Xenopus tropicalis: one gene and its partner. The protein of the gene in region 1 purifies or fractionates together with the protein of each later gene. This does not show direct contact. Links are inferred from orthologs where the notes say so. Each region holds a gene or a part of one and is shown in the gene's direction. Other genes may lie near its edges.

Region 1 (16,592 bases):
GACCCAACAAGACCCATCAAGAAGACCCAACAAGACTCATCAGGAAGACCCAACAAGACGACCCATCAGGAAGACCCAACAAGACCCATCAGGAAGACCCAACAAGACTCATCAGGAAAACCCAACAAGACCCATCAGGAAGACCCAACAAGACTCATCAAGAAGACCCAACAAGACCCATCAGGAAGACCCAACAAGACCCATCAGGAAGACTCAACAAGACCCATCAGGAAGACCAAACAAGACCCATCAGAAAGACCCAACAAGACCCATTAGGAAGACCCAACAAGACCCATCAGGAAGACCCAACAAGACCCATAAGGAAGACCCAACAAGACCCATCAGGAAGACCCAACAAGACCCATCAGAAAGACCCATTAGGAAGACCCAACAAGACCCATCAGGAAGACCCAACAAGACCCATCAGGAAGACCCAACAAGACAAGAGTCACTGCCGAAATGGATTGGAGGCTCCAATGGGTGGGGCACAGAAGGAGGCTAGGTGGCACTAGCCTGAGGAATACCAGGGGGAGCAGGAACTCTGGGAAACCTGAAGAGTCTCCAGTTGCATGACCTCACTGAGGAAGAGAATAAAGTTCAAAGTGGGGGAAGTGGGGGCCACGCCGTGACTCCTCAGGGCTACGGGCGCTGCCCACCTACGTGCCAACTTAACCCCCTTCTACGGGTCTAAAAGTCAAAGGGACTATTTATATATTCAAATTACTCCTTTTTTCCTCCCTGTACCAAATGAGAACAAAGATGACTCTGGATGTGATGGGGGGCCCTTACCAGGCTGCAGCTGGGGGCTACAGAAAAAAACCCAAAGGCATTACCATTGCCACCAGGTAGCCCCCACGTGTCCTACGGGGGTTAAGTTGAACGGGATGAGAGAAGAAGATGCCCAAGTGCCTCTGTACATCCGTCGGGCGCTTGTAGCCCTGGTGTGTAAGAACCTGGAGGGTGGTGTGGGGCTGTTTGTCGTGCCCTGTTCCCTCTGGGTAACCCACTGCCCCTGCCCCGCTCCCTCTGGGTAACCCGCTGCCCCTGCCCCGCTCCCTCTGGGTAACACCCTGCCCCCTCTGTGTAACCCGCTGCCCCGCTCCCTCTGGGTAACCCGCTGCCCCGCTCCCTCTGGGTAACCCGCTGCCCCTGCCCCCTTTGGGTAACCCGCTGCCAATTCCTGTGGGATTTCCCCTAGTAGAGCGTAAGATTCTCTTTCCCGAGAGATATTATCCGGGGTTCGGAGTAAATTTGAGGGGTGTAAGCTCAATCTTAGTGTTTTGCCCCGTTCCTTTCCCACTGAGGAGGCTAAAGGGAATTTTGGGATCACCTTATTACAGGGTGACCCTCAGGGTTGAGCTTTGTCTCTTCTGACCCAGCTTGGCACTCTCTTGAGGCATTTTTAAGGCCATGGCTCTCCCCTGATAGACCCCGATTGGGCTGCCGACTCCATACGTACCCCAGACGGGGCAGGAGGCTGGTTCAGGAATATTATAGGGAGTTTGGCCGCTGGGCAGAAGAGACCGGTTGGAATGATACCGCCCTTTGTATCCAGTTCAGAGTGGGCTCATTAATTACCCTGCCCGACATCTCTTGATGCTTTAATGTCTCTCACTATTCAGACAGATAGGAGACATAGGGAGAGGCATCAGGGGAGAATTGCCCCCCATAACCAACTCCCTTCCTCAGGCCCCTGAGCCCCTACAAAACATTCCTAACCCCTATTCCTGTACAGGAGCCAATGTAAGTGTCTTCCTATGAACATGTATGTGTCTTCCTATGAACATGTATGTGTCTTCCTATGAACATGTATGTGTCTTCCTATGAACATGTATGTGTCTGCTTATGAACATGTATGTGTCTTCCTATGAACATGTATGTGTCTGCTTATGAACATGTATGTGTCTTCCTATGAACATGTATGTGTCTGCTTATGAACATGTATGTGTCTTCCTATGAAAATGTAAGTGTCTTCCTATGAACATGTATGTGTCTTCCTATGAACATGTATGTGTCTTCCTATGAACATGTATGCGTCTTCCTATGAACATGTATGTGTCTTCCTACGAACATGTATGTGTCTTCCTACGAACATGTATGTGTCTTCCTACGAACATGTATGTGTCTTCCTATGAACATGTATGTGTCTTCCTACGAACATGTATGTGTCTTCCTATGAATATGTAAGCGTCTTCCTATGAACATGTATGTGTCTTCCTATGAACATGTAAGCGTCTTCCTATGAACATGTATGTGTCTTCCTACGAACATGTATGTGTCTGCCTACGAACATGTATGTGTCTTCCTACGAACATGTGTCTTCCTATGAACATGTATGTGTCTTCCTACGAACATGTATGTGTCTTCCTACGAACATGTAAGCGTCTTCCTATGAACATGTATGTGTCTTCCTACAAACATGTATGTGTCTTCCTATGAATATGTATGTGTCTGCTTATGAACATGTATGTGTCTTCCTATGAACATGTATGTCTGCCTACGAACATGTATGTGTCTTCCTATCAACATGTATGTGTCTTCCTATGAACATGTATGTGTCTTCCTACAAACATGTATGTGTCTTCCTACGAACATGTATGTGTCTTCCTATGAACATGTATGTGTCTTCCTATGAACATGTATGTGTCTTCCTATGAACATGTATGTGTCTGCTTATGAACATGTATGTGTCTGCCTACGAACATGTATGTGTTGAATAGCGTGTGGCAACCCCATCACCCCATCACAGCTAGGCCACACACCCCATTCCAAGAGGAACACTGTGTGCTTGGCTGATCTCCCTGGCAAGCTGGCATAGACCCTGGAAAATGGCGGTGGGGCCCAATAGACAGAACCCTGACATTGCAACTGGGGGGCCCCAGTTCGACCCCAGCCAAATCCAAGCGCCTGGCCAAACCGAACCCTTAAAACCATGTGACTTTAGATCATGTGATTGAACATTTTTTTCTTTCTTTCCCCCCTTTGTTCGTGTTTGGATTCTTCCAAAATCCTTCTGGAAAGATTCCAGGTTTGGGCGAATCCCCAACATAGCGATTAGGCGCACCCCGAAATCCCACACAGCACGGGGGGGGGGGCATGTACATATCGGCCAATGTTGGGGCAGGTACAGATTAGCCCCATAGGGTAAGGCTGGGTGAAACCCCTCACACATGGAGGTCAGGGGGGTGAGCACCAGATTGTAAGCTCTTGTGAGCAGGACCCGCCCCTCTCCTTACACTCTGGTGCGACTTCCCCCCCGTTACTCTCTAACGGGCTCATTAGGGAGATACACAGCCTATAGGGATGGGCAAATGCAAATATATGTAAATTCATTCTGTAAGATGGAAATGATTGGCCGGCAAGGGGCTGTTGGTGATGAGGTCATTATTACAGTACGGCTGCAGTACCAATATGTTCCACTAGGGGGAAACCACTCACTTCGGTACCAGCGCGTAGGTTGGTTCCCCCCAACCCTTCTCTGCACTCAGGGGCCTGGCGCCTCTGGATCAGTGTAACCGGGGGCAACAGCACCGGGCTCTCAGAACTCGTGGGTCAGGCCCAAAGCTTATTCACAGCACAAATACTATGAGTTACCAGTTTGTGCAGGGAGGGGCCATAGTGCAATCTATTTACTGGCCCAAATGCCCCGGTCCCCCCAAGAGCCTTAGCCCCTCCGACTCCCTACTGGGCCCAAATGCCCCGGTCCCCCCAAGAGCCTTAGCCCCTCCGACTCCCTACTGGGCCCAAATGCCCCAGTCCCCCCAAGAGCCTTAGCCCCTCCGACTCCCTACTGGGCCCAAATGCCCCGGTCCCCCCAAGAGCCTTAGCCCCTCCGACTCCCTACTGGGCCCAAATGCCCCGGTCCCCAAGAGCCTTAGCCCTCCGACTCCCTACTGGGCCCAAATGCCCCGGTCCCCAAGAGCCTTAGCCCCCCGACTCTCTCTGGGCCAAATGCCCCGGTCCCCCCAAATAGCCCCCGGGAATCCAGCCCAAGAACCTTAGCCCCTCCGACTCCTACTGGGCCCAAATGCCCCGTCCCCCCAAGACCTTAGCCCCTCCGACTCCCTAACTGGCCCAAATGCCCGGTCCCCCCAAGACCTTAGCCCCTCCGACTCCCTACTGGGCCCAAATGCCCCGGTCCCCCCAAGAACCTTAGCCCCTCCGACTCCCTACTGGGCCCAAATGCCCCGGTCCCCCCAAGAACCTTAGCCCCTCCGACTCCCTACTGGGCCCAAATGCCCCGGTCCCCCCAAGAACCTTAGCCCCTCCGACTCCCTACTGGGCCCAAATGCCCCGGTCCCCCCAAGAACCTTAGCCCCTCCGACTCCCTACTGGGCCCAAATGCCCCGGTCCCCCCAAGAACCTTAGCCCTCCGACTCCCTACTGGGCCCAAATGCCCCGGTCCCCCAAGAACCTTAGCCCCTCCGACTCCCTACTGGCCCAAATGCCCCGTCCCCCAAGAACCTTAGCCCCTCGACTCTCTACTGGGCCCCCGGTCCCCCCAAGAACCTTAGCCCCTCCGACTCCTACTGGGCCCAAATGCCCCGGTCCCCCAAGAACCTTAGCCCCTCGACTCCCTACTGGGCCCAAATGCCCCGGTCCCCCAAGAACCTTAGCCCTCCGACTCTCTACTGGGCCCAAATGCCCCGGTCCCCCAAGAACCTTAGCCCCTCCGACTCCCTACTGGGCCAAATGCCCGTCCCCCCAAGAACCTTAGCCCTCGACTCCCTACTGGCCCAAATGCCCCGGTCCCCCAAGAACCTTAGCCCTCCGACTCCCTACTGGGCCCAAATGCCCCGTCCCCCCAAGAACCTTAGCCCTCCGACTCTCTACTGGGCCCAAATGCCCCGGTCCCCCAAGACGCTTAGCCCCTCTGACTCCTACTGGGCCCAAATGCCCCGGTCCCCCAAGAACCTTAGCCCCTCCGACTCTCTACTGCCAAATGCCCGGTCCCCCCCAAGAACCTTAGCCCCTCCGACTCCCTACTGGGCCCAAATGCCCCGGTCCCCCCAAGAACCTTAGCCCCTCCGACTCCCTACTGGGCCCAATGCCCCGGTCCCCCAAGAACCTTAGCCCCTCCGACTCCCTACTGGGCCCAAATGCCCCGGTCGCCCCCAAGAACCTTAGCCCTCCGACTCTCTACTGGGCCCAAATGCCCCGGTCCCCCCAAGAGCCTTAGCCCTCCGACTCCCTACTGGGCCCAAATGCCCCGGTCCCCCAAGAACCTTAGCCCCCTCCGACTCCTACTGGGCCCCAATGCCCCGGTCCCCCCAAGAACCTTAGCCCCTCCGACTCCCTACTGGGCCCAAATGCCCCGGTCCCCCAAGAACCTAGCCCCTCCGACTCCCTACTGGGCCCAAATGCCCCGGTCCCCCCAAGAACCTTAGTCCCTCCGACTCCCTACTGGGCCCAAATGCCCCGGTCCCCCCAAGAGCCTTAGCCCCTCCGACTCTCTACTGGGCCCAATGCCCCGGTCCCCCCAAGAACCTTAGCCCCTCCGACTCTCTACTGGGCCCAAATGCCCCGGTCCCCCCAAGAACCTTAGCCCCTCCGACTCCCTACTGGGCCACCAAAATGCCCCCGTCCCCCAAAACCTTAGCCCCTCCGACTCTCTACTGGGCCCAAATCCCCGGTCCCCCAAAAGCCTTAGCCCCTCCGACTCCCTACTGGCCCAAATGCCCCGTCCCCCCAAAGAACCTTAGCCCTCCGACTCTCTACTGGCGACCCAAAATGCCCGGTCCCCCCAAGAGCCTTAGCCCCTCCGACTCCCTACTGGGCCCAAATGCCCGTCCCCCAAGAACCTTAGCCCCTCCGACTCCCTACTGGGCCCAAATGCCCGTCCCCCCAAAACCTTAGCCCCTCTGACTCCCTACTGGCCCAAATGCCCCGTCCCCCCAAGAACCTTAGCCCCTCGGACTCCCTACGGGCCCAAATGCCCCGGTCCCCCAAGAACCTTAGCCCCTCCGACTCCCTACTGGGCCCAAATGCCCCGTCCCCCAAGAACCTTAGCCCCTCTGACTCCCTACTGGGCCAAAATGCCCGGTCCCCCCAAGAACCTACCCTCTGACTCCCTACTGGCCAAATGCCCCGGTCCCCCCAAGAACCTTAGCCCCTCCGACTCCCTACTGGGCCAATGCCCCGTCCCCAAGAACCTTAGCCCCTCCGACTCCCTACTGGGCCAAATGCCCCGGTCCCCCAGAACCTTAGCCCCTCCGACTCCCTACTGGCCCAAATGCCCCGGTCCCCCAGAGACCTTAGCCCCTCCAGCGCCTACGGCCCAAAATGCCCGGTTCCCCCCAAAATCCTTGCCCTCGACTCCCCTACTGCCAAATGCCCCGGTCCCCCAAGAGCCTTAGCCCCTCCGACTCCCTACGGGCCAAATGCCCCGGTCCCCCCAATAACCTAGCCCCTCAGACTCCCTACTGGCCCAAATGCCCGGCCCCCCAAAGAACCTTAGCCCCTCCGACTCCCTACTGGGCCCAAATGCCCCGGTCCCCCAAGAACCTTAGCCCCTCCGACTCTCTACTGCCCAAATGCCCCGGTCCCCCCCATAGAGCCTTAGCCCCTCCGACTCTCTACTGGGCCCAAATGCCCGTCCCCCAAGAACCTTAGCCCCTCCGACTCTCTACTGGCCCAAATCCCCGGTCCCCCCAAGACCTAGCCCTCCGACTCCCTACTGGGCCCAAATGCCCCGGTCCCCCCAAAATCCTTAGGCCCCTCCGACTCCCTACTGGGCCCAAATGCCCCGGTCCCCCCAAGACCCCTCCGACTCCCTACTGGGCCCAAAATCCCCGGTCCCCCCAAGAACCTTAGCCCCTCCGACTCCCTACTAGGCCCAAATGCCCCGGTCCCCCAAGAACTAGCCCTCCGACTCTCTACTGGCCAAATGCCCGGTCCCCCAGAACCTTAGTCCCTCTGACTCCCTACTGGCCCAAATGCCCCGTCCCCAAGAACCTTAGCCCTCCGACTCCCTACTGGCCCAAATGCCCCGGTCCCCCAAGAACCTTAGCCCCTCCGACTCTCACTGGGCCAAATGCCCCGTCCCCCCCAAGAACCTTAGCCCCTCCGACTCCCTACTGGCCAAATGCCCCGGTTCCCCCAAGAACCTTAGCCCCTCCGACTCCCTACTGGCCAAAAATGCCCCGGTCCCCCAAAACCTTAGCCCTCGACTCCCTACGGCCCAAATGCCCCGTCCCCCAAGAACCTTAGCCCCTCCGACTCTCTACTGGGCCAAAATGCCCGGTCCCCCAAGAACCTTAGCCCTCCGACTCCCTACTGGGCCCAAAGCCCCGTCCCCCCAAGAACCTTAGCCCTACCGACTCCCTACTGGGCCCAAATGCCCCGGTCCCCCCAAGAACCTACCCCCTCCGACTCTCTACTGGCCCAAATGCCCCGGCCCCCCAGAACCTTAGTCCCGCGACTCCCTACTGGGCCAAATGCCCCGGTCCCCCAAGAACTTAGCCCCTCCGACTCCCTACTGGGCCCAAATGCCCCGGCTCCCCCCAAGAACCTTAGCCCTCCGACTCTCTACTGGGCCCAAATGCCCCGGTCCCCCCAAAAACCTTAGCCCTCTGACTCCCTACTGGGCCCAAATGCCCCGGTCCCACCCAAGAACCTTAGCCCGTCCGACTCCCTACTGGGCCCAAATTGCCCCGGTCCCCCAAGAACTTAGCCCCTCCGACTCCCTACTGGCCCAAATGCCCGGCCCCCCAAGAACCTTAGCCCCTCCGACTCTCTACTGGGCCCAAATGCCCGGGTCCCCCAAGAACCTTAGTCCCTCTGACTCCCTACCTGGCCAAAATGCCCCGCGTCCCCCAAGAACCTTAGCCCTCCGACTCTCTACTGCGGCCAAAGAATCCCCGGTCCCCCCAAGAACCTGAGCCCCCCGACTCCCTATCTGCCCAAATGCCCGGTCCCCCGCCACAGACAATCAATCCGAGTGTAATTACGGGGGGGGGGGGGGGCGATATAATTATTGGGGAGAAATCGCTTGGGACCCGTTTTGTTTCCGTGTTTAATTCACTTTAATTTCTAGTCTTTTTCATTAAAGGGGGTGTTGCCCTTTCAGTTAACTATTCATTCTCTATTATTTGTAGCTTAGGAATCATTTTACTACTAAATGTTGGAATTTAAGCAGCTATCTGGTTGCTAGGGTCCAATTTACCTTGGCAACCTGGGAGTGGTTTGAGAGACATATGAATAGGGGAGGGGCTGAATAGAAAGAGAAGGAATAAACAATAACAATAATAAGGAGGCAGAACAGGAAGGCAAATAATTCAATGAAAGATAAAGAAAAAAGACCAATTGAAAAGTTGCTTAGAAGCGGCCATTCTATAAACACTGAGCGTTACTGTAACTGACTGAAAGTACAAAAAGCTGAAATGTTGTTATTTTCACCCCGGAAACAGAAATGACTGTTAATGAAACGGGAAACTGAGGGAACAGCGGAGATGGCGGCCTCCCCGGTACTGTCCCAGCGTATAACCCCGCCTTACGCCGACTGGCCACGCCCACAAGGCATTACGTGATGCGTCACTCCCACCAGTTACGTGCGGCCGTGACGCCACTCTCGCGAGATGAGACTTGGGCTGTGGGGAGAGAAGTTGGAGCCTGTGTAGCGGCCGCTCTGCCTCCCTCCCTCCCGTATCGGCCTCTCTCCCAGGTACGTACTGCCCCCCCCCACTGTGTGTAATGCCCCCCAGTATTACCCCCCCTCTGTGTATAATCCCCCCCCCAGTATTACCCCCCCACTGTGTGTAATGCCCCCCAGTATTACCCCCCCTCTGTGTATAATGCCCCCCCAGTATTACCCCCCCACTGTGGTAATGCCCCCCCAGTATTACCCCCCCTCTGTGTATAATGCCCCCCCCAGTATTACCCCCCCACTGTGTATAATGCCCCCCAGTATTACCCCCCCACTGTGTGTAATGCCCCCCAGTATTACCCCCCCTCTGTGTATAATGCCCCCCCAGTATTACCCCCCCACTGTGTATAATGCCCCCAGATTACCCCCACTGTGTGTAATGCCCCCCCCACTGTGTGTAATGCCCCCCAGTATTACCCCCCCACTGTGTAATGCCCCCCCAGTATTACCCCCCACTGTGTGTAATGCCCCCCCACTGTGTGTAATGCCCCCCCCCCCCACTGTGTGTAATGCCCCCCCCCCACTGTGTGTAATGCCCCCCCCCACTGTGTGTAATGCCCCCCCACGGTGTGTAATGCCCCCCCACTGTGTGTAAATGCCCCCCCCCACTGTGTGTAATGCCCCCCCCCACTGTGTGTAATGCCCCCCCCCACTGTGGAATTGCCCCCCCCCACTGTGTGTAATGCCCCCCCCCCCACTGTTTGTAATGCCCCCCAGTATTACCCCCACTGTGTGTAATGCCCCCCCCCACTGTGTGTAATGCCCCCCCCACTGTGTGTAATGCCCCCCCCCCACTGTGTGTAATGCCCCCCCACTGTGTGTAAATGCCCCCCCCACTGTGTGTAATGCCCCCCCCCACTGTGTGTAATGCCCCCCCCACTGTGTGTAATGCCCCCCAGTATTACCCCCCCACTGTGTGTAATGCCCCCCCAGTATTACCCCCCACTGTGTGTAATGCCCCCCCCCACTGTGTATAATGCCCCCCAGTATTACCCCCCACTGTGTGTAATGCGCCCCCCCACTGTGTATAATGCCCCCAGTATTACCCCCCACTGTGTGTAATGCCCCCCCCCACTGTGTGTAATGCCCCCCCCCCACTGTGTGTAATGCCCCCCCCCCACTGTGTGTAATGCCCCCACTGTGTGTTTGTAAGCCCCCCCCACTGTGTGTAATGCCCCCCCCCACTGTGTGTAATGCCCACCCCCCACTGTGTGTAATGCCCCCAGTATTACCCCCCACTGTGTGTAATGCCCCCCAGTATTACCCCCCCACTGTGTGTAATGCCCCCCCCACTGTGTATAATGCCCCCAGTTATTACCCCCCCCACTGTGTGTAATGCCCCCCAGTATTACCCCCACTGTGTGTAATGCCCCCAGTATTACCCCCCCACTGTGTGTAATGCCCCCAGTATTACCCCCCCACTGTGTGTAATGCCCCCCAGTATTACCCCCCCACTGTGTGTAATGCCCCCCAGTATTACCCCCCCACTGTGTGTAATGCCCCCCAATTACCCCCCACTGTGTGTAATGCCCCCCAGTATTACCCCCCCACTGTGTGTAATGCCCCCCCAAGTATTACCCCCCACTGTGTGTAAATGCCCCCCAGAATATACTATTGTCACTCCCCCACTGTGTATAATGCCCCCCACCCCCAGTATTACGCCCCCAGAATATACTATTGTCACTTCCCCCCCCACTGTGTATAATGCCCCCCCACCCCCCAGTATACCCCCCAGAATATACTATTGTCACTCCCCCCCACTGTATAATGCGCCCCCCACCCAGTATTACCCCCCCAGAATATACTATTGTCACTGCCCCCCACTGTGTTATAATGCCCCCCCCACCCCAGTATTACCCCCCCCCCCAGAATATACTATTGTCACTGTGAGTGGGCCCCTAAACTCAGCTAAATGACAGCAGAAAAGAAGGTGGGGGGCATTTTTTGGGGGCAACAGACCTTCTCTGCTAAAGGGCGGGGGGGGGTATTTAGTGGCACAGTAATAACCAATACAGAGTCCGACCCCAACCCACCCTTTCCTGTCCGCTCCTGGCCTGATGCCCCACCGGGATTTTTGTACCTTTGCCTGTGGGGGTGTTTGGGGGGGCAGGTAATGATGTCACCAAAGGGTCTGGGCTGTGACATCACCTGAGAGGAGGTTTGGTCCAATACCCACCCGGTGTGTTTATTGTTTGTAAGCAGCAGTCCTGCCCTGCTTTATGGCTGAGATTCTAGCTATCTGTATAACAGAGCATTCTGTCACAGTGGCACAGATCCTATCTGATCCGCCCCATTGTAAGCAGCAGTCCTGCCCTGCTTTATGGCTGAGATTCTAGCTATCTGTATAACAGAGCATTCTGTCACAGTGGCACAGATCCTATCTGATCCCCCCATTGTAAGCAGCAGTCCTGCCTGCTTTTATGGCTGAGATTCTAGCTATCTGTATAACAGAGCATTCTGTCACAGTGGCACAGATCCTATCTGATCCCCCCCCATTGTAAGCAGCAGTCCTGCCCTGCTTTATGGCTGAGATTCTAGCTATCTGTATAACAGAGCATTCTGTCACAGTGGCACAGATCCTATCTGATCCCCCCCCATTGTAAGCAGCAGTCCTGCCCTGCTTTATGGCTGAGATTCTAGCTATCTGTATAACAGAGCATTCTGTCACAGTGGCACAGATCCTATCTGATCCCCCCCCATTGTAAGCAGCAGTCCTGCCCTGCTTTATGGCTGAGATTCTAGCTATCTGTATAACAGAGCATTCTGTCACAGTGGCACAGATCCTATCTGATCCCCCCCCATTGTAAGCAGCAGTCCTGCCCTGCTTTATGGCTGAGATTCTAGCTATCTGTATAACAGAGCATTCTGTCACAGTGGCACAGATCCTATCTGATCCCCCCCATTGTAAGCAGCAGTCCTGCCCTGCTTTATGGCTGAGATTCTAGCTATCTGTATAACGGAGCATTCTGTCACAGTGGCACAGATCCTATCTGATCCCCCCATTGTAAGCAGCAGTCCTGCCCTGCTTTATGGCTGAGATTCTAGCTATCTGTATAACAGAGCATTCTGTCACAGTGGCACAGATCCTATCTGATCCCTCCCATTGTAAGCAGCAGTCCTGCCCTGCTTTATGGCTGAGATTCTAGCTATCTGTATAACAGAGCATTCTGTCACAGTGGCACAGATCCTATCTGATCCCCCCCCATTGTAAGCAGCAGTCCTGCCCTGCTTTATGGCTGAGATTCTAGCTATCTGTATAACAGAGCATTCTGTCACAGTGGCACAGATCCTATCCCCCCCCCATTGTAAGCAGCAGTCCTGCCCTGCTTTATGGCTGAGATTCTAGCTATCTGTATAACAGAGCATTCTGTCACAGTGGCACAGATCCTATCTGATCCCCCCATTGTAAGCAGCAGTCCTGCCCTGCTTTATGGCTGAGATTCTAGCTATCTGTATAACAGAGCATTCTGTCACAGTGGCACAGATCCTATCTGATCCCCCCATTGTAAGGTTATATATAGGTGTGTAAGTGCCTGTGGATACCCCGGGTGGGAAAGCTGTGTCCCTATTGGAGCCTGGCGCAGGAGGCGGGGCTAACCAGAGCCTATGGGAATGCTGGTTTCCCGGTTACTCATTTACCAGTAAATATTGATATTGTGCCGCAGCCGCCGGTGCCTGTCACTGCCAGTGTTTAGTCTATGCTCCTACTATCAGTTTATCCCCAGCTTATCTGCACTTACTGACCCGGTTCCGCTTCCGGCTCTGTTACGGGCCAAGTCCCCTATTTACGTGTTTGGGGGGCACCGCCGTCACATTATTATACTGCCTCCATGTTACGGGGCTCTAAATAAATCCAAATCCAGGCTGGAGAGAGGCAGATTTATTGCAGTGAATTGGGGCAGGTAGATTAGATTGTAAGCTCTGCTGGGGGCAGTGACTAATGGAGAGGAATACTAATAATGGCCCTGCTACGGGAGCCCAGGAGGGACAAACCAGTGTTACTTAGCACTAAGGAAAGCATCTGATGTCTGTGATTTTCCCCATAGGAGAAGGATCTCCCCCTGAGCGTCGCCATAGGCCGAGGGCCTGAGGAGAGAGGTAGGGTGGGTATACCGGGGGGTGGGTATACCGGGGAGGGGGGTGTATATAAGAGGGGGGGGTAGTAAACGCCATATCTTTTGCCTTTATTTAATCAAAATACCAAAGAGGAAGATGGGAATGGAGTGTGAGCAGCAGGTTGTGCTTTCCCCTTCCTCCTCCTCCTCCTCCTCCTCGCTGTGTGTTTATGGCTGCCTTCCCTGCCCATCTGCTGTGTGATTCTCCCACCAAATGGTATCGGGGGGGGCGCAGTAACGGCGAATCCGCTTTCCTTTGTGCCAGGGTGCCAATGAAGCGCTCTCACACCCCGCCGGGGGCCCTCGCCAACGGGGCCCTGCACTCCCTCTCCCGCGAGCTGGGCAAGGGGAGCGCCGTGATGCTGTCGGCCGCCGTCCTGGAGCTGCCCAACCCCGGCACTCGGGTGCCCGCCCAGCAGGAAAGCCCCAGCCGGGGAGCCTCAGTCAGCGAGTACCCCCACGCGGAGGGCAAGTCCGGGGGAACCGTCAAAGTGTATCTTCCCAACCAGCAGAGGACAGTGGTGAGTCTCCGGCCTATGTTTCCGCCATTTGTGCCCGTTGCCGGCTTTGTGCCCATTCTCCCTTGTGCCCGGCAGGTAAACGTGCGCCCTGGCATGACGGTGTACGACTCTCTGGATAAGGCACTGAAAGTGCGCGGTCTGAGCCAGGAATGCTGCGCGGTGTATCGGCTCATACAGGGGTAAGTGGCACAGCATGGCGGCTACGCTTTACGTCTGTCCCGCTCGCTCTGTAGCGCCCATTGTGTTTCCCTTTGCAGCCGCAAAGCCCTGACCGACTGGGAGACGGACATCACCCCCCTAGTGGGCGAGGAGCTGATGGTGGAGGTCCTGGCCGACGTCCCCCTGTCCATGCACAATTTCGTAAGCCGCTTGCAATATTAACCTTCAATTAAAGGGGAACTTTACCCAAACACAACTTTGCAATATACATTTATTAAAAAACATTCCGCTTTTTCCTGATTTTCAATGTACTAATGTGGGTCTGGAACGGTTCCCTAAGCCCCGCCCCCTGTTCCGCTGACTACGTTCCTGACTACTGTCCTAAAGGTCCCCTGACGGGCCTGCCCGACCGATATCTGGCCTGAAATCGGGCAGATATCGATTGGGCAGGTTTAAAAGATCTAGTTGGATTGGGGACCACATCGGCTCGTTGATACGGTCCCCGAACCGCCTATACCCGTCGTTATAATTCGATCATTTGGCCCCAGGGCCAAACGATCAAATTAACCTGGATTCTCCTGATATCGCCCACCCGTAGTTGGGGGATATCAGGAGAAGATCCGCTCGCTTGGCGATGTCACCAAGTGAGCGGATCTTATCCCGATATCCCCCAATCTGAAGGTGTATGGCCACCTTAAGTCTTCAGCCTCCAAATCCCACAATCCCCTGCTGCACACATGATGTCAATAAGGAAAGGGACACCCCAGAGCAATGCATTGTGGGCTATGTAGTTCCTGCCTGCTGTCTGTAAGCTGTGGAGAAGTTGTTACAATTCGTAACATCAACGTTTTAGTCCCTCCTCCCCTGTCTGGATTTTAAATGATGATACATTTCAGTGTATAAAAATTAGGGATGCACTGAATTCGGTTGGGGATTGGGATTTGGCCGAATCCTTCAGGGTGGGTTTGGGATTCAGCGAATCCTTCAGGGTGGGTTTGGGGTTCGGCCGAATCCTTCAGGGTGGGTTCGGGGGTTCGGCCGAATCCTTCAGGGTGGGTTCGGGGGTTCGGCCGAATCCTTCAGGGGGGGTTCGGCCGAATCCTTCAGGGTGGGTTCGGGGGTTCGGCCGAATCCTTCAGGGGGGGTTCGGCCAAATCCTTCAGGGTGGGTTCGGGGGTTCGGCCGAATCCTTCAGGGGGGGTTCGGCCGAATCCTTCAGGGTGGGTTCGGGGGTTCGGCCGAATCCTTCAGGGGGGTCAGCCGAATCCTTCAGGTGGGTTCGGCCGAATCCTTCAGGGTGGTTCGGGGTTCGGCCGAATCCTTCAGGGTGGGTTCGGCCGAATCCTTCAGGGTGGGTTCGGGGGTTCGGCCGAATCCTTCAGGGTGGGTTCGGCCGAATCCTTCAGGGTGGGTTCGGCCGAATCCTTCAGGGTGGGTTCGGCCGAATCCTTCAGGGTGGGTTCGGCCGAATCCTTCAGGGTGGGTTCGGCCGAATCCTTCAGGGTGGGTTCGGCCGAATCCTTCTTCAGGGGGTTCGGCGAATCCTTCAGGGTGGGTTGGAATTCGGCGAATCCTTCAGGGTGGGTTCGGCCTTCGAATCCTTCAGGGTGGGTTTGGAATTCGGCGAATCCTTCAGGGTGGGTTCGGGGGTTCGGCCGAATCCTTCAGGGTGGGTTCGGCCGAATCCTTCAGGGTGGGTTCGGGGTTCGGCCGAATCCTTCAGGGTGGGTTCGGGGGTTCGGCCGAATCCTTCAGGGTGGGTTCGAACGAATCTTTCAGGGTGGGTTCGGGGGTTCGGTGCATCCCTAATAAAAATGTGATTTCGGTTCGGAAGTCGAAGTTCCCCTTTAATAATAATCCGCCATTTCTCTGTCCCTCAGGTGAGAAAAACCCATTTCACCCTGGCGTTCTGCGACTTCTGCCTGAAGTTCCTGTTCCACGGCTTCCGCTGCCAGACCTGCGGCTACAAGTTCCACCAGCACTGCAGCAGTAAGGTGCCCACGGCCTGCGTGGATATGGCCAAGCTGCCCAAGCCCCTGTGAGTAAGAGCGGCCGCCCTCGCCGCCAAAAGTGCTTTCAATTAACTCCTACAGGGTGACATTTTTTAAAAAAAATTGCAATTGGTCTTCATTTATTTTAATTATTTGAAGTTTTTCAACTATTTAGCTTTTTTTCAGCATCTCTCCAGTTTGGGATTTCAGCAGCTATCTGGTTGCTAGGGTCCAAATTACCCTAGCAACCAGGCAGTGGTTTGGATGAGAGACAGGTATATGAATAGGGGAGGGGCTGAATAGAAAGAGAAGGAATAAAAAGTAACAATAACAATAAAACTGGAGCCTCACAGAGCAATAGGGTTTGGCTGCCGGGGTCAGTTATCCTGTTGCTAGGGCTCAAATGACCTTAGCAACCAGGGAGGGGTTTGAATGAGAGGCTGGTATATGAATAGGGGACGGGCTGAATAGAAAGATAAGGAATAAAAAGTAACAGTAACAATAAAACTGGAGCCTCACAGAGCAATAGGGTTTGGCTGCCGGGGTCAGTGACCCCCATTTGAAAGCTGCAAAGAGGCAGAAGAAGAAGGGAAATCATTCAAAAACTAAGAATAAATAATGAAGACCAATTGAAAAGTTTCTAAAAATTGGCCATTTATAACATAGTAAAAGTTAAATTAAAGGTGAGCTGCCCCTTTAAGACAGATTTGGCGGATTTCCCACCATATTCACAGACCCCATATCTATTAACGGAAGGAGCAAAGTTTGCTACCAATCTAATCGCCCATAGCAACCAATCGGCAGGCAGCATTTACTGGTCACCTGTTTTTTTATTGGTTGCTATGGGTTACTGCTCCAGGGCAAATGGGGTGCCTTTTAGTACATATGGGGGGAAGTCTTTTGCTCCTCCCCCTTGCAGCTATACCCGGGTACTAATTGATTTCTCATGAATATGCAAATGGCCCCCACCCCGCATACTGGTCATTGGCTTATTCATTTCCCAATCAGAATGCCCTCTTGCCTCCCTCCCTGTTGTTATGACCTTGTCCAATTTTGACTCCATTTACTGTCACATTCTCTGCTGTGATTGGCTGGTGTTTCACGTTCCCATTCATTCCCTTGCGTATGATTGGCCTCGTGTCTCTTCCTGTTTATGCTCCTC
Region 2 (16,635 bases), on another chromosome or scaffold:
CAGTTGCCCATAGACATTGCCTGATGAGTGCTAATGACTAAATAGAGTGCACCTGTGTGTAATCTAATGTCAGTACAAATACAGCTGCTCTGTGACGGCCTCAGAGGTTGTCTAAGAGAATATTGGGAGCAAGGAAGGCCTGTAAAATACCCATGAAGTCCAAAGAACACACCAGACAGGTCAGGGATAAAGTTATTGAGAAATTTAAAGCAGGCTTAGGCTACAAAAAGATTTCCAAAGCCTTGAACATCCCACGGAGCACTGTTCAAGCGATCATTCAGAAATGGAAGGAGTATGGCACAACTGTAAACCTACCAAGACAAGGCCATCCCCCTAAACTCACAGGCCGAACAAGGAGAGCGCTGATCAGAAATGCAGCCAAGAGGCCCATGGTGACTCTAGACGAGCTGCAGAGATCTACAGCTCAGGTGGGGGAATCTGTCCATAGGACAACTATTAGTCGTGCACTGCACAAAGTTGGCCTTTATGGAAGAGTGGCAAGAAGAAAGCCATTGTTAACAGAAAACCATAAGAAGTCCCGTTTGCAGTTTGCCACAAGCCACGTGGGGGACACAGCAAACATGTGGAAGAAGGTGCTCTGGTTAGATGAGACCAAAATGGAACTTTTTGGCCAAAATGCAAAACGCTATGTGTGGCGGAAAACGAACACTGCACATCACTCTGAACACACCATCCCCACTGTCAAATATGGTGGTGGCAGCATCATGCTCTGGGGGTGCTTCTCTTCAGCAGGGACAGGGAAGCTGGTCAGAGTTGATGGGAAGATGGATGGAGCCAAATACAGGGCAATCTTGGAAGAAAACCTCTTGGAGTCTACAAAAGACTTGAGACTGGGGCGGAGGTTCACCTTCCAGTAGGACAACGACCCTAAACATAAAGCCAGGGCAACAATGGAATGGTTTAAAACAAAACATATCCATGTGTTAGAATGGCCCAGTCAAAGTCCAGATCTAAATCCAATAAAGAATCTGTGGCAAGATCTGAAAACTGCTGTTCCCAAACGCTGTCCATCTAATCTGACTGAGCTGGAGCTGTTTTGCAAAGAAGAATGGGCAAGGATTTCAGTCTGTAGATGTGCAAAGCTGGTAGAGACATACCCTAAAAGACTGGCAGCTGTAATTGCAGCAAAAGGTGGTTCTACAAAGTATTGACTCAGGGGGCTGAATAATTATGCAGACCCCACTTTACAGTTATTTATTTGTAAAAAATTTTGGAATCATGTATGATTTTCGTTCCACTTCTCACGTGTACACCATTTTGTATTGGTCTTTCACGTGGAATTGCAATAAAATTGATTCATGTTTGTGGCTGTAATGTGACAAAATGTGGAAAAGTTCAAGGGGGCCGAATACTTTTGCAAGCCACTGTATGTGATTCAAGACAAGGTACGCTGCCAGTGAGAGTGTGTAGAAAGATGAAATACTGTGTATATCTAGTCTGTGCTTTGTTTAGTGTGGGGTTAGGTGGCGGGGGTGGGTAGTGTGGGCTGTGCTTGTGTACTCAGCTAACTTTTTATTTGCTTCACATGTAGCATACAAAATTTCACTAAAAAAAATAAAGAAAAAAATTATTTTACCAAGGACATGACCTTTTTGATTACAGGCACAAACGAAAGGAATCTTTACCATCTGAACACACACTTTAGTAGTTTACTTTTATCTTTTGGCATGATATAGGCAATGATTTTCTAAGTCACTTTGCAATTGTTAATATTTCATTTGGGAGGTTTCTGAACTAGTTAGCTCTTTGTTCATTAGATGTCCGGTTTGGTACTTCAAGGGCTAACTGATCGCTAATCTTTTAGTTACTCTAGAAACGCAGCAAAGAATTGTATGATGAATATATTTGGTCCATTACAGAATAATAAGCAAATAATTCAAAAACTATAAAATGAAAAATGAAGACCAGTTGAAAGAGTAAAGGTGGCCATACACTGAAAGATCCGCTTGTTTAGCAAGGTAACCAGATGAGTGGATCTTTCCCAAATATGCCCACCTTAGGGCATTCTATTCTTTTCTATGACCTATAACAGGGATCCCTAACCTTTTTTTAAATGATCTTTTTAATTGTGCTATATTAGAAGCATAAGACACTTCTGGCTGATCAAATTACAACAGTTAGGACTGACACTATCCTGAGATTTTTTTCTTTTAGTATCGATTCTGCTCCTTCAGAGCTAGGCATTACATCAACATGCTTTCAAAAAATCTGAATACAATGTTCTGTTAAATGTTCATCTGATTCAAGGTTGTAATTTATTCCTTCTTCGGCACAGCACAATATATTTGAGAATCTGTTTATATGGATAGGAGTAATTGTATATAGGTGTATAGTTTATAAATGGTAGATGAATCAGGCAGGGGCAAAGCTGGAGCAGGAGTTGGCTTATTGCCTATACATGAAACTACCGGAATAGTTTTATACTGATAAGCATAAAACTAGAATTACAGAATTGTAGCATAGACTGTATAAGGCCTTAAAGGAGTGTGCTTAGCTGGTTTGTCATATTTTCCTTAATAGCAGACAAAGTGCTAGAGAGTATTAATAATAGCAAAAACAATAAAAGTGTAGTGTTAAAAGAGTATTAAACATCTTTTTAGAGTCAAAAACTTCTAGTAATAAAATGAGGAACGATCTTTCATACCATATATTCATATTATATTTTACATTTTGCTTTCCACCATTTCTACAGATGCAAATGATAACACAGAAGCCAAACTTACAGGATTGGATTAAGGTTTGTTGGATTTGTATATACTCATTTCCCGACCAATCTGGCAGACCTAAATCCAGTGGGGGAAATTATGTCTGTTAAAGAACCAAAAAACAAAACAAAAATTTATTTTACCTGTAATACTATTTTACCTGTGTCCATGTAAACAAGTAATGTTTAAAATGTTAGAATTATAAAAAATCTATCTATTTTTGTGCTAAGGCACACGGTAAAAAAAATGCCAGCCAGGAATCGGGCCCTACATTGACATCAGCCTTCTTTCTTGTCTGCACATAGAACCATTGTGTCAGCCTGGGTGCAAGCATGCGCATCAGATTTCATGCGTTTCCTGCCAAAATCTACCACATGTGCCTGCACCTTGGCCAATGCAGTGGTTCCAGGTGCAGGAGTAGGAAGTAAGCCTATGCTAGCGTAGGGGTAAAAAAAGCAGCAAAGAGAATCAGCCCCGTATGGCATTAATTTAGCTAAATAGCATATTTACAATGCATTTTGCCAAAAACAAAAGTGCTGTTTTGAAGATTGCCTTGGGTATTATGAGGAGTAGTAATGTCTGCAACTGTTGCCAAAAGAGGTATTTAAAGCTTCATTTATTTTACAGATGACAATTTGAAAGAAGCTATCAGAAGTAGTATGATGGAGATGTAAAAAAGCAGGAACAAATACATTACTTTGTTTGATTCTTTCTTCAAATCTGTGATTGTCCTTTTTCTTTTTTTGTTCTTTTGTCTTTTCCCTGAAATTTGACTGCAGGGACACTTAAAAAGTTTTTGTCTTAGATTTTACCTATCTGTGTATTAGTATATGTTGATATATATGTAAAAAAAAAAAAAAAAACTTGCTTTGAAGACTATTAATTTAGATTCTCTGAAGATTATCAATGAAAAAATACTGAAAATAATAGTCGTCACACTCAGCGAGTAGTTTAGCCCTTATAGTGCATTTTACCCAACTCCAGTCTGCATTTGCCATTCTATCCAAATGAATACAGTGAGTATATGAAAAAAATGAGTTGTGCAAGATGTGAATTGTAATGGCTTTGTTTTCCAGTTTAGAGCCTTTCTAACCCAGATTGTTTTAGGTGAACTTCAAAGATGATACAACTTTTAATCACACATTCACTGAATGTACTAAAGCCTGTGCCTTGTTTTGCAGAGGACTATAGGTAAGAAATTAGAAAAATATATATTAAAAAGTATCCGGCTTCCTACCCCCAGTCTTTCCATTTTGCTGTTGTAATTTGCTAATTATAATCAATTTCAAGTATTGTGTAGGAAATGGGAAGGGCAATCATTTCATGAAGCCAATTATCTGCTCAGCTGCCATTTACTACATTTATCAATTAGGAGGGACTTTCTTTTGCTAAAGAATAAAACATATCCCTTTAATCATCCAACACCTGGAAAAGTTTTCATTATAAAAGGGTTGAAGGAATGAATAACCTAAAAGTGGCCATACAAATTTAAGCCGCCAATTTGGGTCCTTTAGACTGATTTGGCAGCTTATCTGCCCATGTATGGGCACCCCCCACTGGGCCTACCCAGCCTAAAATTGCCCAGATCTTGATCGGGCAGGTTTGATATTCTGTCCAACCAACAATCCAATTCAGTCCTCGACTGTGCCTCTGCCTGCTGGTTTAACTTCAATTAGTCCGATATTGTCCACCTTAGGGATCTTACTGTGTATGGCCACCTTAAGGACAGATTGTGTATTTTATCCTGCACTATGCCAAACTGGTGTTATTTTGTTTATCTTTTTTATTTTTTTGTAAGCTTTATGCTATAAAAGCTATAAACGGTTCAGTAGGGAAAAGAAAGTCAGGTGATGCAGGAATTTAAGAAGAATTTAAATTTTAAGATTCCTGGTAGGACCATATTTACGTTCACAGCCTATTGGGCTTCTCTTCTTTAATGGAAAGGATTGTTCCCAACCATTTTACAGCAGAGGGAATGGAATCCCTTTTCAGCTGGAATGTATCTGATGTCCTGCATTAAAATGGAAGTTCCCCCAATATACTTCTATTCAAAAACTGCATTGAGGTATCTGCTCTGGAAATTGCAAAAGTGGAAATGTTTGTGAGGGGGGCAGGGAAGAGATATGGAATATATTGTAGTACATCAGTGCAAGTTAATCAATTATCAGTTTCACGTGTTTTTAGTATTAAAAAAGTGGTAAACTTTAGGGTAATGCCATTTTAGGTGTTTTGTAGATCCGTGCTCAGAGAATACTCAATATTACCCCCTCCAACGACAACTGCCATTACTGCTCTAAAACAGGCGTGCAAACAGTCGAGAAGTAAGTTTGTTACCACTATTCTCCATGAGCACTCCAGAAGACACAAGGCGGGCCCTGTATAATTTATGGAGCAAACTCAAATCTGCCACATAATTCACAATGGAGGCACAGGCGGCTAATGTGACTTTTCTGAAGAGGGCCTGTTTTTAATGGAAATGGTGAAGCTATTAAGGCTGTTATGACCAAGATGGCTCTCTCTTCATACCAAGGGTAGCTCAGTTTATTTTGGAAGGAATGACAGAACTGCTGTCGACTTTTTTTTTTTTTTACTAATTGGTGCATATAGTTCTAACACTGACTAATAATCATCAATTTAAACTTGCACTATAATGTTATGTTTCCCCACCAAGGTTTGTCATCCAATATCTCATTTATTTCACTGCAGCAATAAGGCTGCAAAATTGCTTTCTCCTTCCAGATCAGGTCATGCACTTTTCCACACATGCCTATAAAAATATCACTTTAAGAGCACCCACATTATTGCAAACCACAACGTTCATAAACAAAAAATAAAAGACCTGACAGCAGTCCCTAAAATAAGGCAATGTGACACTGTACAAAGTCTGGGAAACTGCAAAGAAGGAAGTGTTTTACATGCTACAGAGTAACCCTACATATGGGGAAAACAGTATATACAATGACAAACGCTGTCCTGATAAGGAACACTCTGGCACCAAAACACCAATAGCTGTAGATTTTAACTCCCTAATGCCTGAATGAGTATGAGCAATAATGGTATGAGCTGGAATGTAAGTAGCAGCAGGTGACTGCATAAAAGGGCTTGCTATCACTGTTGTGCAATATGCCTCATCCAGCTAACAGTAAAAATCTTGTAAAATTGTAGGTTAAAGTTTACTGTTTTCTGTAACACGTAAGCTGTTCTATAAAATATGATCTTAACATTGTTACTTAACAGAAATAGAAGTTCAGAACTTACAGTAGGGGTGCATTTATTAACACTGGAGACAAACATCACCGATGATCAGATCTTTGCTTTTGTTTTTTTAACTTGTAGAGGACCATTCAAATCTAATTGCTGATTGGTTGCTATGGGCAACATCACCGGTGATGTTTGTCTCCAGTATTAATAAATACGCCCCTATTGTGTGTATTGTACTCATTCTGACCCTTGCATTGCTTTCCATTGGGAAAAAAAGGCAACAGAAACAAGTTAGGAAAGTGTAGGGCTAATCTATTTCACCATATTTTACACCGTTTTGTTGCTAATTTTCTGTGAATAGTTAAAAACAGCACATAAGGTAGTTACCTATACTCTATCTCCTTGTTTATATATCAGCCAATACTAATTCCCATAGTTTTGCATTTCCCTGAAGCAGGCAGAAATTTCCTTAGGACCCTGACAGCTGATTGTGCCCAAAACTGGATGCTTGCCAACTGGGGCTTCCTGGTGGTGTGTATGTTGTTACCTAAGAGTATAAGTAAGTACAAAGTCCCCTGTAGGAGCATTGCAGGAAGGGTTTAGTGTTACAAATCACCCTCCCCTGTGAATGGGAAATGCCACAATCTTGCCTTGTTCTGCTTATTGCTAACCACATATGAATGAAACATGTGGCTCTGCATTTTCCATTGATACAAACCTGTCACTAGACAGAACAAGGCATCATCGCAGTATTTCCCATTTACTTTGGGGAAGAGATTTATAGATTTTTTCCCAATCTCTAAGTGCAATACATTTCTGGAGCTACAAACAATGATAATCTTCCCATGTACCATTACCCTTAATAAGAAAAAAATACCAGTGAAGCTTGCAATGGCCGGAGTTGCAGCTGATTTTCAGTGCGGTGGGGTGGCCCTAAATTCCCCATTAGGGATGTAGCGAACCTCAAAAAAAAAGTTTGCGAACCTGTTCGCGAACTTTGCGAACCCCATAGACTTCAATGGGAAGGCGAACTTTAAAACCTAGAAAAGCCATTTCTGGCCAGAAAACTGATTTTAAAGTTGTTTAAAGGGTGCCACGACCTGGACAGTGGCATGCAGGAGGGGGATCAAGGGCAAAAACTTCTCTGAAAAATTGACACACGCCGTTTTTCGAAATGATCGGTAATTTTGCGACTTTTTCGTAATTTCCGGCGCTTTCGTAAAGTTATCGTAAGTTTTGCGACTTTTTCGGAGCATTCGTAACGTTATCGTAAGTTTTGCGACTTTTTCGGAGCATTCGTAACGTTATCGTAAGTTTTGCGACTTTTTCGGAGCATTCGTAACGTTATCGTAAGTTTTGCGACTTTTTCGGAGCAGTCGTAACGTTATCGTAAGTTTTGCGACTTTTTCGGAGCATTCGTAACGTTATTGTAAGTTTTGCGATTTTTTCGGTGCCAGCGAACCCAAATTGTGAACATCACGAAAAGTTCGCGAATTTGCGGACTTGCGAACACCCGATGTTCGCGCGAATTAGTTCGCCGGCGAACAGTTCGCTACATCTCTATTCCCCATGCACATGCGTGTTTGCGACTCACATAACCCCCCTCCCATATGAGGTTTCGTACAATATCATCATTCTGGCTACTAAAAGACAATGCTGACCATTTACTGATAACCGTCTCTACGTGTGTTTTAGCAGAGGCAATTTTCAGTATTGTCTATGGCAGGGTATTTTCTGGAGATTAGTAGCTGAGAAAAAATATCTGCTACTAGTAGCCCAGTGTGTCTTCACCCTTAATATAAGCAGGCTCTGTCCCTTGGTTGGGGAGGACCCATACAGTAGGCTATAAATGAAATGAATGGTTTGAGTGTACAGTGTAAATATGAGCAGAACAGGCAGTGTATCTGCAGTAGAGTGAGTGAATGAACAGTTGAATGAGAGTAGGTACATTATATTATATATATGATCAGCAGCAGAGAATGAGTGATTGAACATCTGGAGGGGTGTAAGCACAGTTTATAAACAACAGGGAAAGCAGGTTAGGGAAGTTCGAGACCCCCAAAGCCCCATAAAATCAGTCCCTTAGGCAGCTGAGCTGCAGCTGGGGGCAGGGAAGTGAAGCAGCTGACAGTTAGTGCAGGGCCGGGAGCCGCCCAAGCCCATGTTAGGCAATGTTACACTATCCTGCTGTTCTATCCCGGTGAGAGTGCAGGAGGAGGAGGGAGAGATGTCTAGAAAGATCTAAGCATTTCACTGTCCTCTGTTGCTCAGTTGTGCTTTTTCTGTGGAAGGGAGAGTCCGCAAGCTATTATGGCTCAGGCTAAAATCCAGGCAAAGGCAGCCACCGAAGGGCACAATGCAGGCAAGTTCTGCCGCTCTGTCTCTATGGCAGCTCGATCCAACCACCTGTTAGAGATTTTGGACGATCTGGAAGTCAGGTAAGGAAGCGAGCAGAATGATGTCTATAATATGTACCCTGTGTATGCCCTTACTGTGCGCTCTGCCTGCTGCCCTGCCCTGTGGTGCCTGACTACACGTGTTCCCTATGGATACATACAGTATAACATCTCCCAGTCCTGCCCAATATATATGCACTACTGAGGGAAAGCCTGACTGAAAAGCATAAGCAAAAGTCAACTTGTTACAAAGTCATATGGCAGCAAAACTATATTCTGCGCTCCAGGGTCGATATATCTTTACAGTACTTTTGGCCTAGCCTTTGTTTTGTTCCTATTTTGTAGGAAAATAGTTTTCTACAGTCTGTGGAATGCCATATATTTGTGTAATATATATATATATATATATATATATATATATATATATATATATATATATATATATATATATATATATATATATATATAACCCAACTGAACAGTGGCTTTGGTGGCTCTGGATACTGTAGGAAACTTACCAGAAAGTAGGCATATTTTTTTGTTTCCCAGCACAAGTTGGAGCTCTGAGCTGAGAAAAAAAGATTATGCATTCTTTTGGTCAAATATTGGCCAGGGACAAATCACCAGGAATAAAGTGTGTATTGTTTCCTGGCGCAAGTAGGAGCTCTTAGAATAGAAAAAAAAGATTGATTGCACTTTTGGTGAAATATTGTGGACAGAAGGCAGGAGGCTGTGGTGGCAGTAGGTATAGCTGGCAACTCATCAGGAATAAAAGTGAATTATCCCTTACCTGACACAATAAATAGCTATGGTGAGTTAAGAAAATTACTTTTAATATTGGAAGCAGAGGCTTTGTGGAGGCAGGTATTGTTGGCAAATCAGCAGGATATACATTTTTTCCCATTTCAAGTTGCTGTGAGCAGAGGACAATAAACTACTGATGGACACTCACAGTCTGCAGTGCCCTGCACAGACAGTCATGTGTTGCCAGCAGCCCTGGTTATACACTACATTTTTGCTAGGTACCCAACTGGGCCAGGTGGTTAAATGTTGAGTGGCTGCAGTTATATAGTTTGTAAAAGTAATGTCACAGGTTAATCTCACTGATTCTACAGATTGAAAGGGAAGCTATGTTATTTGTAAGAACCATTTACCAAGGCAACCCCTCCATTACCTCATTCAGTGATGGATTCTGGGACTGAATTTCCAGATGCAAACATGTTGGTAGGTACACCCCTAGTCACTGCACTACATAGAGGGGTCCAGTTGGCACTGCGTCCCCCGTTCCCCGCTGCTCGCTAATAAGTAGGTCACAATCATGGGGTTTGCTTCTTCTATAGTTACACCACTGCTTTTTGGAAAACATCCCTCTAATAACAAATACCAAAGTTATAGATAGTTTGGGTCTTTAGTTGATCTATAGTTATAGGGAGCAAGGTGCATTTTAGTATAATTTAAGTGGGTAGTGTACCTCAAAAAAAATACCCTTATATTTGAATGTAAGTTTCAGTGTTTAAGCCAGTAGACTGGCTAGACAGTAGACTATCAGTTGGAACTAAAGGGAGGCACTACTTGCCTCAGCTCTGGGTTGTAGTTAACCCCAATACACTGGGCTTATGAGACTGTTTGAGAAGAAGTAAATAGTAGAACAAATTACTAGCATATTGAACTGCTACTTATAATTAGGCTGCAGCTTATGAAGGATTTAAAAAAAAAAACCTCTATCTCCATTTAAAATAATTACCCTATTTACAAGAGGAAGAAAACATAATTTTCCATTAGTACTTTATAGTAGGAAAGAATTAGGAAAATATGGATTTTTTAAATTAAAACAATACACAATGTATTTTCAACCCAAGTGATATTTATTATTGAGCAAACATGCATGCAGTTTTTTTACATGATGAGGTTGCACTTCTGTATTTCTGTGCCACTTCTGATGCAACTTTAAACAGATGACCACAGGCTATGGCACACAGTGTAATGACACATGCAGGCTATTTCCACATCTGAAACACCCATAGCTGTTCTCATTAATTAAAAAGTCCCCACAAGTCACAGAAGGCACCTGTATATTATTACCCTGAGCTCTAATCCTCAGCACTATCTTGCAGAATGTAGCACCAACCTAAGGCTAATTTGGTACACGTTTTTGCACAGTAATTGGCAGTAAATGTGTAATGTGGAACTTAATTTTCATGTCAGTGGGAATCAATCCACATCACATAGCTGCCATGGCTGAATAGGATGTGTACTGTTTGTGTACAAACTCTGTATGATTAGACCTTCCCCACGTTTGTGCTGATTGTTCTCACACAAATAAGGGAGAGGGTCTTTCAGAGGAGTGATCCATGAACATTTTTTCCATTTTGTAATTGAAACAATAAGCAGGAGCAAAACTTTAAACTGTAAAGACCAACTAAAACTTAGATTGTAATGAAAATAGAGCTAAAACATAACTATTTCCCTCATGTTTGCCTTTAATTGTTTGGCAGCAACCTTCCTTATCTCCATTCCTAGCATAATTCTATGCAATAATCCTCTAACATGAAACCAGTAAAGGGTGAGATGTAGCAGGCCAGAGGGAAGCACTAACGACTGGCGATGTTGAAGGCCAGGCATAGAATAGTCACACTGTTTCTTTTACTCTATCCAGTGCCATAAACTGAGAGCAGCATGGTTATTTCCCTAAGTGCAATTCATTAAGAAACATTTATGTAGCGGTCAAACTTACTGCTTACTCTGCAGTATGACGAATGGTTTGGGAGAATATATTCCTTCTGCATCATCCCTCAGCTTTTTGGAATAATAGATGTTCAGTTTAAGATAATTACCAAAAAGAAAAAAGCTTTAAAGTGTTCCCTATGCCACAAGCCACAAAGTGGAATGCGTGAGTAATGGTTAATTTTTCTGAAATCCACATTAATGCCCAAAGATCCTTTTAGTCACATGTTCAAAGGAAACAAAAATTCAAACAAGCATCTGGAAAATACTCAATTTTTAATAGACTGAGATTTTTTTAAGACATTATCTGTCTTTGTTTTTCTACTCCTGGTTATTTTTGGCCACATAAAGGGTCGATAGGTATTTGGGGCCTCCTCCTTGGCACGCTGGATGTCTGTTCTTTTCATTCCCCTTACTGCAGCATAAGCAAAAACAAAAATAACTAACCCATTATTATTATGGGAACGCTACTTCTCTTGGCTCCCCAGAGCAGCTCCATACACGCTCACCAAAACTGCCCAGTTGCACATATAGGCACATCACCGTCTGATATATCAGCCAAATTAATAAAGCTGTAGGCTTTCCAGCCACAGACCTACTGTGGTCCTCATTTATCAACTCTGGGTAAATTTACACCTGGGCAGGAATTTATAGCAGCCAATCAGTGAGTAGCTTTTTTCAGACAGCTGCAAGTAGAATAATAAAAGTTGCCACGGGTAACTGCCAGGGATAAGTTTGACCAGTGTTGATAAACGGGTCCCACTAACTGTTACATGCTGGAGCCCATGGGAGGTTGTCCCAATTTATCTGTTGCTTGAGTGTAAATATCATTGCCAGTTCTTTGTTGCTTTTGACATGTTTCCAATGGAACTTTAGCAGAATGCTGGGTTGTGTACAGAAAGCAGTAACGTGCTGACAAGGGAAAGTAGGCTATTTTCAGATAGCTAAAGGTCCATGGAGATCATTTTCTGCAGAGATTACACAGGTATGGGATACACCAGTATCACCAAATTAAAGGAAGGCCATCTCCCATAGACCCCATTTTAATCAAATAATTCAAAATTATTTTAATAAAATAATTTCCTTTTACTCTGTAATAATAAAATAGTACCTTGTACTTGATCCCAACTAAAATATAATGAATCCTTATTGGTGGCAAAACACTTTTATTGAGTTTATTTAATGTTTACATTTATTTTTTTAACAGACTTATGGTATGAAGATCCAAATTACGATAAGATCACTTATCCAGAAAACTCGAGGCCCCAAACATTCTAAATAACAGGTCCCATACCTGAACATCATATTAAATAAAAATTTTATGGCAAAGCTTTTGTAGGTTTCAAATATGATGGCGAGAAACAGATTCTGCTGAATGAATAGTGCAAAGGAATAGTGACATTATGTAGTTTTCCCACTCTTGCAGGGTCCAAGCCTTTCGTGATGCAGCCTCTGCCCTAGAGCTGGAGAGGGAGTCTCTGATAGAAAAGATTCACAGCGTGCAGAACAGTCATGACATAAGGACGATCAGTGATGGTAAGGCCTACTCATCTCTATAGATAACGAATCCATGATTCTTACCATTTTTTTAATAAATGACTCAACATTGCAGGTTTTAGTGGATATCATTTTATTTGTGGTTTCAAAAAAACACTAAAATCTGAATGTTGATAAATGTGCCTCTAAGGATTAACTATAGCAGATGCTTGTGCCTTAGAGCTGTTAACCCTGAATCTGGAGGGGGAGAGATTGACAGGAACAGTGGGCCTCACTCAAATGGAAGATACGCCTTAAGTTCTTCCATCTCTCCTGTCACATACCTCGGTTACAGATAAGAGTGACTGGCCATCTGTTCCCTTTCCCACCCCAAGGTTAACACACCCAGAAAGACCTACTGAGACAAAAACACAAATGTTGGTAAATGCAAAATGGTGTATCTGTTGGAGGAAAGATTATATAATTTCAGTATTTTAAAGGACATTTACCATGTATATAAGTTGGGCATGTCTCCCCCACCCAAACCACACCATTTGTATTGCAAAAAAAAAATAAAAAAAAATTTATATATAGTCTACAAAAAATCGGCACTCACCACTCCATAGATATCGGCCGGGTGCTAACCAAAAAATACAGAGTGCATATGTAGAAAGCACTCACGGCAATAGATATATAAACAGTCCGTTTATTCAATCATCGCATCTACGCGTCTCGACCCCCACAGGATCGTCATCAGGATAGGGAAAGGAAGTGAAGTGCACACATAACATGAACTAATCAGTGCTCCCAATCAATTAGCATGTTCAATCCAAGAGTCTGTAAGTATTATATCAATTAAGTGATTAAAAATCACTGTTAAAACCCCCCTCTCTCATAACACCATCTATGGAGCACCTACTCACGCATCATAAATATAGTTAACATTTATACATTACATCAGTAACAAAAATTGACACATGATTTTTTTAAAAGCACGATCATCAATAATATCAACATAAATATGGGGGCCAATAGAGAGCGGGGATAACCCGATAGTGAAAAACAAAATACTCAAACCATCTCCCATTGTGGGAAAGTTAGAGAAGTGAATAATATACTATATATCAGAGTCAGAGTCCACGAGGAGCAATAGTATCCAACCTTCGAATCCATTGAGCCTCCCTTTGTAGTAGTAGTTTAGAAATCACCACCACGCAATAAAGGGGGAATATGATCAATCAAACTAGCCCTTAACATGGGCAACGAATGTTTCTGTTGTGTAAAGTGCCTTGCAAGTGGAATATCAGACTTACCAGTAGCCAAAGCCGCACGGATCACTGATCTGTGATTGTTCATTTGTGTGGGGAAAGATGTAACACATTTTCCTATATAGTAAAAGCCACACGGGCACATAATGCAATAGATGACATGATCCAAGGTACAAGTCAATCTATGCCGTATCAAGAATTTTTTCCCAGTGTGGGGCAGAGCAAATGTAGTGCCTGTGATTAAACAGCCACACGTTTTGCAACCACCGCATTTGAAACATACAGGTTTACCAGGTTTCAGCCACGTTCCAGATGATTCATGTTTCAAATCAGTCACCATCAGCAAGTCTCTAAGCGAGCAACCCCGGCGATACGCATACACTGGAGGAGACATATGGGTAAATGGTAGACCAGAGTCTAACTGCAAAATGGGCCAATGCTTTTTAAGTATCATATTAACACCGTAACTCCCTGGTGTATAGTCAGTAATAAACACCATCCGATCTAGTTGTGTCTTGTTTAGTGAAGCTTTTGGTAAGTCATCCTGTGTCATCTTGATCGCCTTCTCCATTTCACTGTGGAGGAAATCCAAAGAGTATCCCCTCTCGACATAACGGTCACACATCTCATAGGCTTGCTGTGATGCAGTTGCAAAGTCAGTATTAATCCTAAACACTCTCAGGAATTGCGTGTAAGGAATGGACTTAATCACAGATGGAGGATGGAAACTATGGGCATGGAGTACTGTATTTCAATGTCTCTTTACGATACAAAGTAGTACCCACTCCCATAGGTGTACGAAAAATCCTAACATCCAAAAAATCAATCATATCTTTAGCATAATTCGAAGTAAATTTTACAGGAGTAGGAAGAGTATTAAGACTGGCAACGACCGTTTTGACTCCAATGTGGCCCCCACGCCATAGAATCAAGATATCGTCAATATTTCTACAGTATAACAATACATTGTCCATATAGTGAGGATAGATAAATTCAGACTCAAATGAGTCCATATATAAATTGGCGTATGAGGGGGCCACATTAGAGCTCATCGCCATGCCAGTCTATTGTAAATAAAAAAGACCCAGCATTTCTCTCACAATATCTATATATCTATACCCCCTCCATTCACCAGCACATTTTCCTGTAACAAATAGCAGCTTTCACCCAGCAGCTACTTTCGCTCTCACAAATCTTCAGTGACATTTACATCTGCAAACAGCACATGGGTGCTATAAAAATGCAGACTTACAAAGGTAGAACTTCCTGTGGTAAAAAGTCCTGTTTGGATTGGGCACTGTAATGGGTAAACTGAGCTCAGGAAAGGAGGTTAGAAGAAAAATGTGTCTCCAGCAGAGTGCAGAGCTAGAGCCGAGTTTCTCTGGAAATCCAGCTGTGCCATCTCCTCATTGGCTGCTAGACTGGAGGGTGTGTTTGGTAACCTGAGTTGAGAAAAACTGAGCATGCTCAGTAAGCCAAGAGCCAAAGTCAGTTCCTAAGTGAGGGGGCCAAGTGGGTTACAGGAGTGAATAAATTCCAAGTAAAGGGATGCATCAGCCTTACAATTAACCTTTGAACAATCGTAATAGCGGGTATTTAATGATTTCAAAGAGACTGTTCACTGATTACATTTTTTGTCGGGGTTGTACATTTCCTTTAAGCTCTAAAAAATCCTATGAAATTCTTAAATCTTTGTATATTTTGCCTTTTGTTTAAAGGGGAGAGAGAAGAACTACTTGTAACAGCTGAACGTCTAATGGGCCGCACCCTTACTGTTGCAGTAGCTGTAGAAACCATTAGAAACCCCCAACAGGAATCCTCTCTACAACAGGCCAGCATGATTATTGATGAAATTTTGAAAAAAGTCATGGACAACCTGGAAAATGGCAGGAAACAGTTAATGGGACTGTATGGAGCTTGTAGCTCGGAAGTTCCAGCAGGACCAGTAGACCAGAAGTTTCAGTCCATAATTATTGGATGTGCAATAGAGGACCAAAAAAGAATAAAAAGAAGGCTGGAGACCCTTATCCGGAATATAGACAACTCGGAGAAGTCAATCACGTTGCTTGAGCAGCAGAGGCAGAAATCTGCTTTTAGTTTGATTCACACCAAGAACCTGTAAATCTCCGGACTGACCCTCTACTTTTTCTTTTGCAAGGATATTGCAAGAACTGCAAACAGGAAGATAGACATTTAAATGGTATAAATCTACTGATACCATATTTAAATTCACCTTTAATTAAATGTTCACATATCATTCGTCCTGGGTTTGTGTTGAATTGCAACAGATATAGTTTTAAATACCTATAGTTCTATACGGCAGTTTACTAACAAATTGATCGATTATCTCATTTTACTAAATAACAAATACTGCTGTGCACAAAATGTTATTCAGTATAACTTAACCTGGGTCAAATCTGCTTTGAAGACTGGGCCAAAATCACTCCTTAACAAGTGCAAGTGCTTTGAAATACAAATAACAGAGATAAGAGAAAGATCCAAGGGTCTGGATAATTTTTGGAATGCACTGTATGTTTCTGTTGTCTTAAGATTTTAAGAACAAGCTAGTGCCAGTGAAAAGTTCCAGTAACGGTTTGGCACAGGTAATGCATTTAAAAAAAGAAGCAGGGGCATATAATTGATAAATCAAAATTCCTGGAGCTACAGAGGCCATTTTCAAAGGTTTAATTTAGGAACTAGAACAAAATATATCCCCTTCAGAATTTTGCAACTTAAGGCGGCTATACACTGTCTGACCTCCGGTGCTATCTGACTGATTGGCTTTTGGCCAGAATAGACAGATACATTAGTGAAGTTACACAGTGCAAACTATCAGAACTGCAG

The links.
Region 2: the proteins of araf (region 1) and bag2 purify together in Homo sapiens (affinity purification with mass spectrometry; 3 studies listed by BioGRID and IntAct, with this or other methods). This does not show direct contact. The link is inferred for Xenopus tropicalis from reciprocal best matches to the Homo sapiens genes ARAF and BAG2.

Annotation. Positions count from the first base shown.
Region 1 is NC_030684.2:1,504,504-1,521,095, reverse strand, and holds the start of araf (serine/threonine-protein kinase A-Raf), read left to right. Parts: upstream 1-8,551; 5' UTR 8,552-8,662; intron 8,663-12,690; 5' UTR 12,691-12,742; intron 12,743-13,024; 5' UTR 13,025-13,031; coding exon 13,032-13,280; intron 13,281-13,355; coding exon 13,356-13,459; intron 13,460-13,537; coding exon 13,538-13,640; intron 13,641-15,319; coding exon 15,320-15,477; intron 15,478-16,592. UniProt on the Homo sapiens protein: Involved in the transduction of mitogenic signals from the cell membrane to the nucleus. May also regulate the TOR signaling cascade. Phosphorylates PFKFB2.
Region 2 is NC_030681.2:95,338,117-95,354,751, forward strand, and holds bag2 (BAG family molecular chaperone regulator 2), read left to right. Parts: upstream 1-8,121; 5' UTR 8,122-8,237; coding exon 8,238-8,365; intron 8,366-12,473; coding exon 12,474-12,583; intron 12,584-15,509; coding exon 15,510-15,913; 3' UTR 15,914-16,050; downstream 16,051-16,635. UniProt on the Homo sapiens protein: Co-chaperone for HSP70 and HSC70 chaperone proteins. Acts as a nucleotide-exchange factor (NEF) promoting the release of ADP from the HSP70 and HSC70 proteins thereby triggering client/substrate protein release.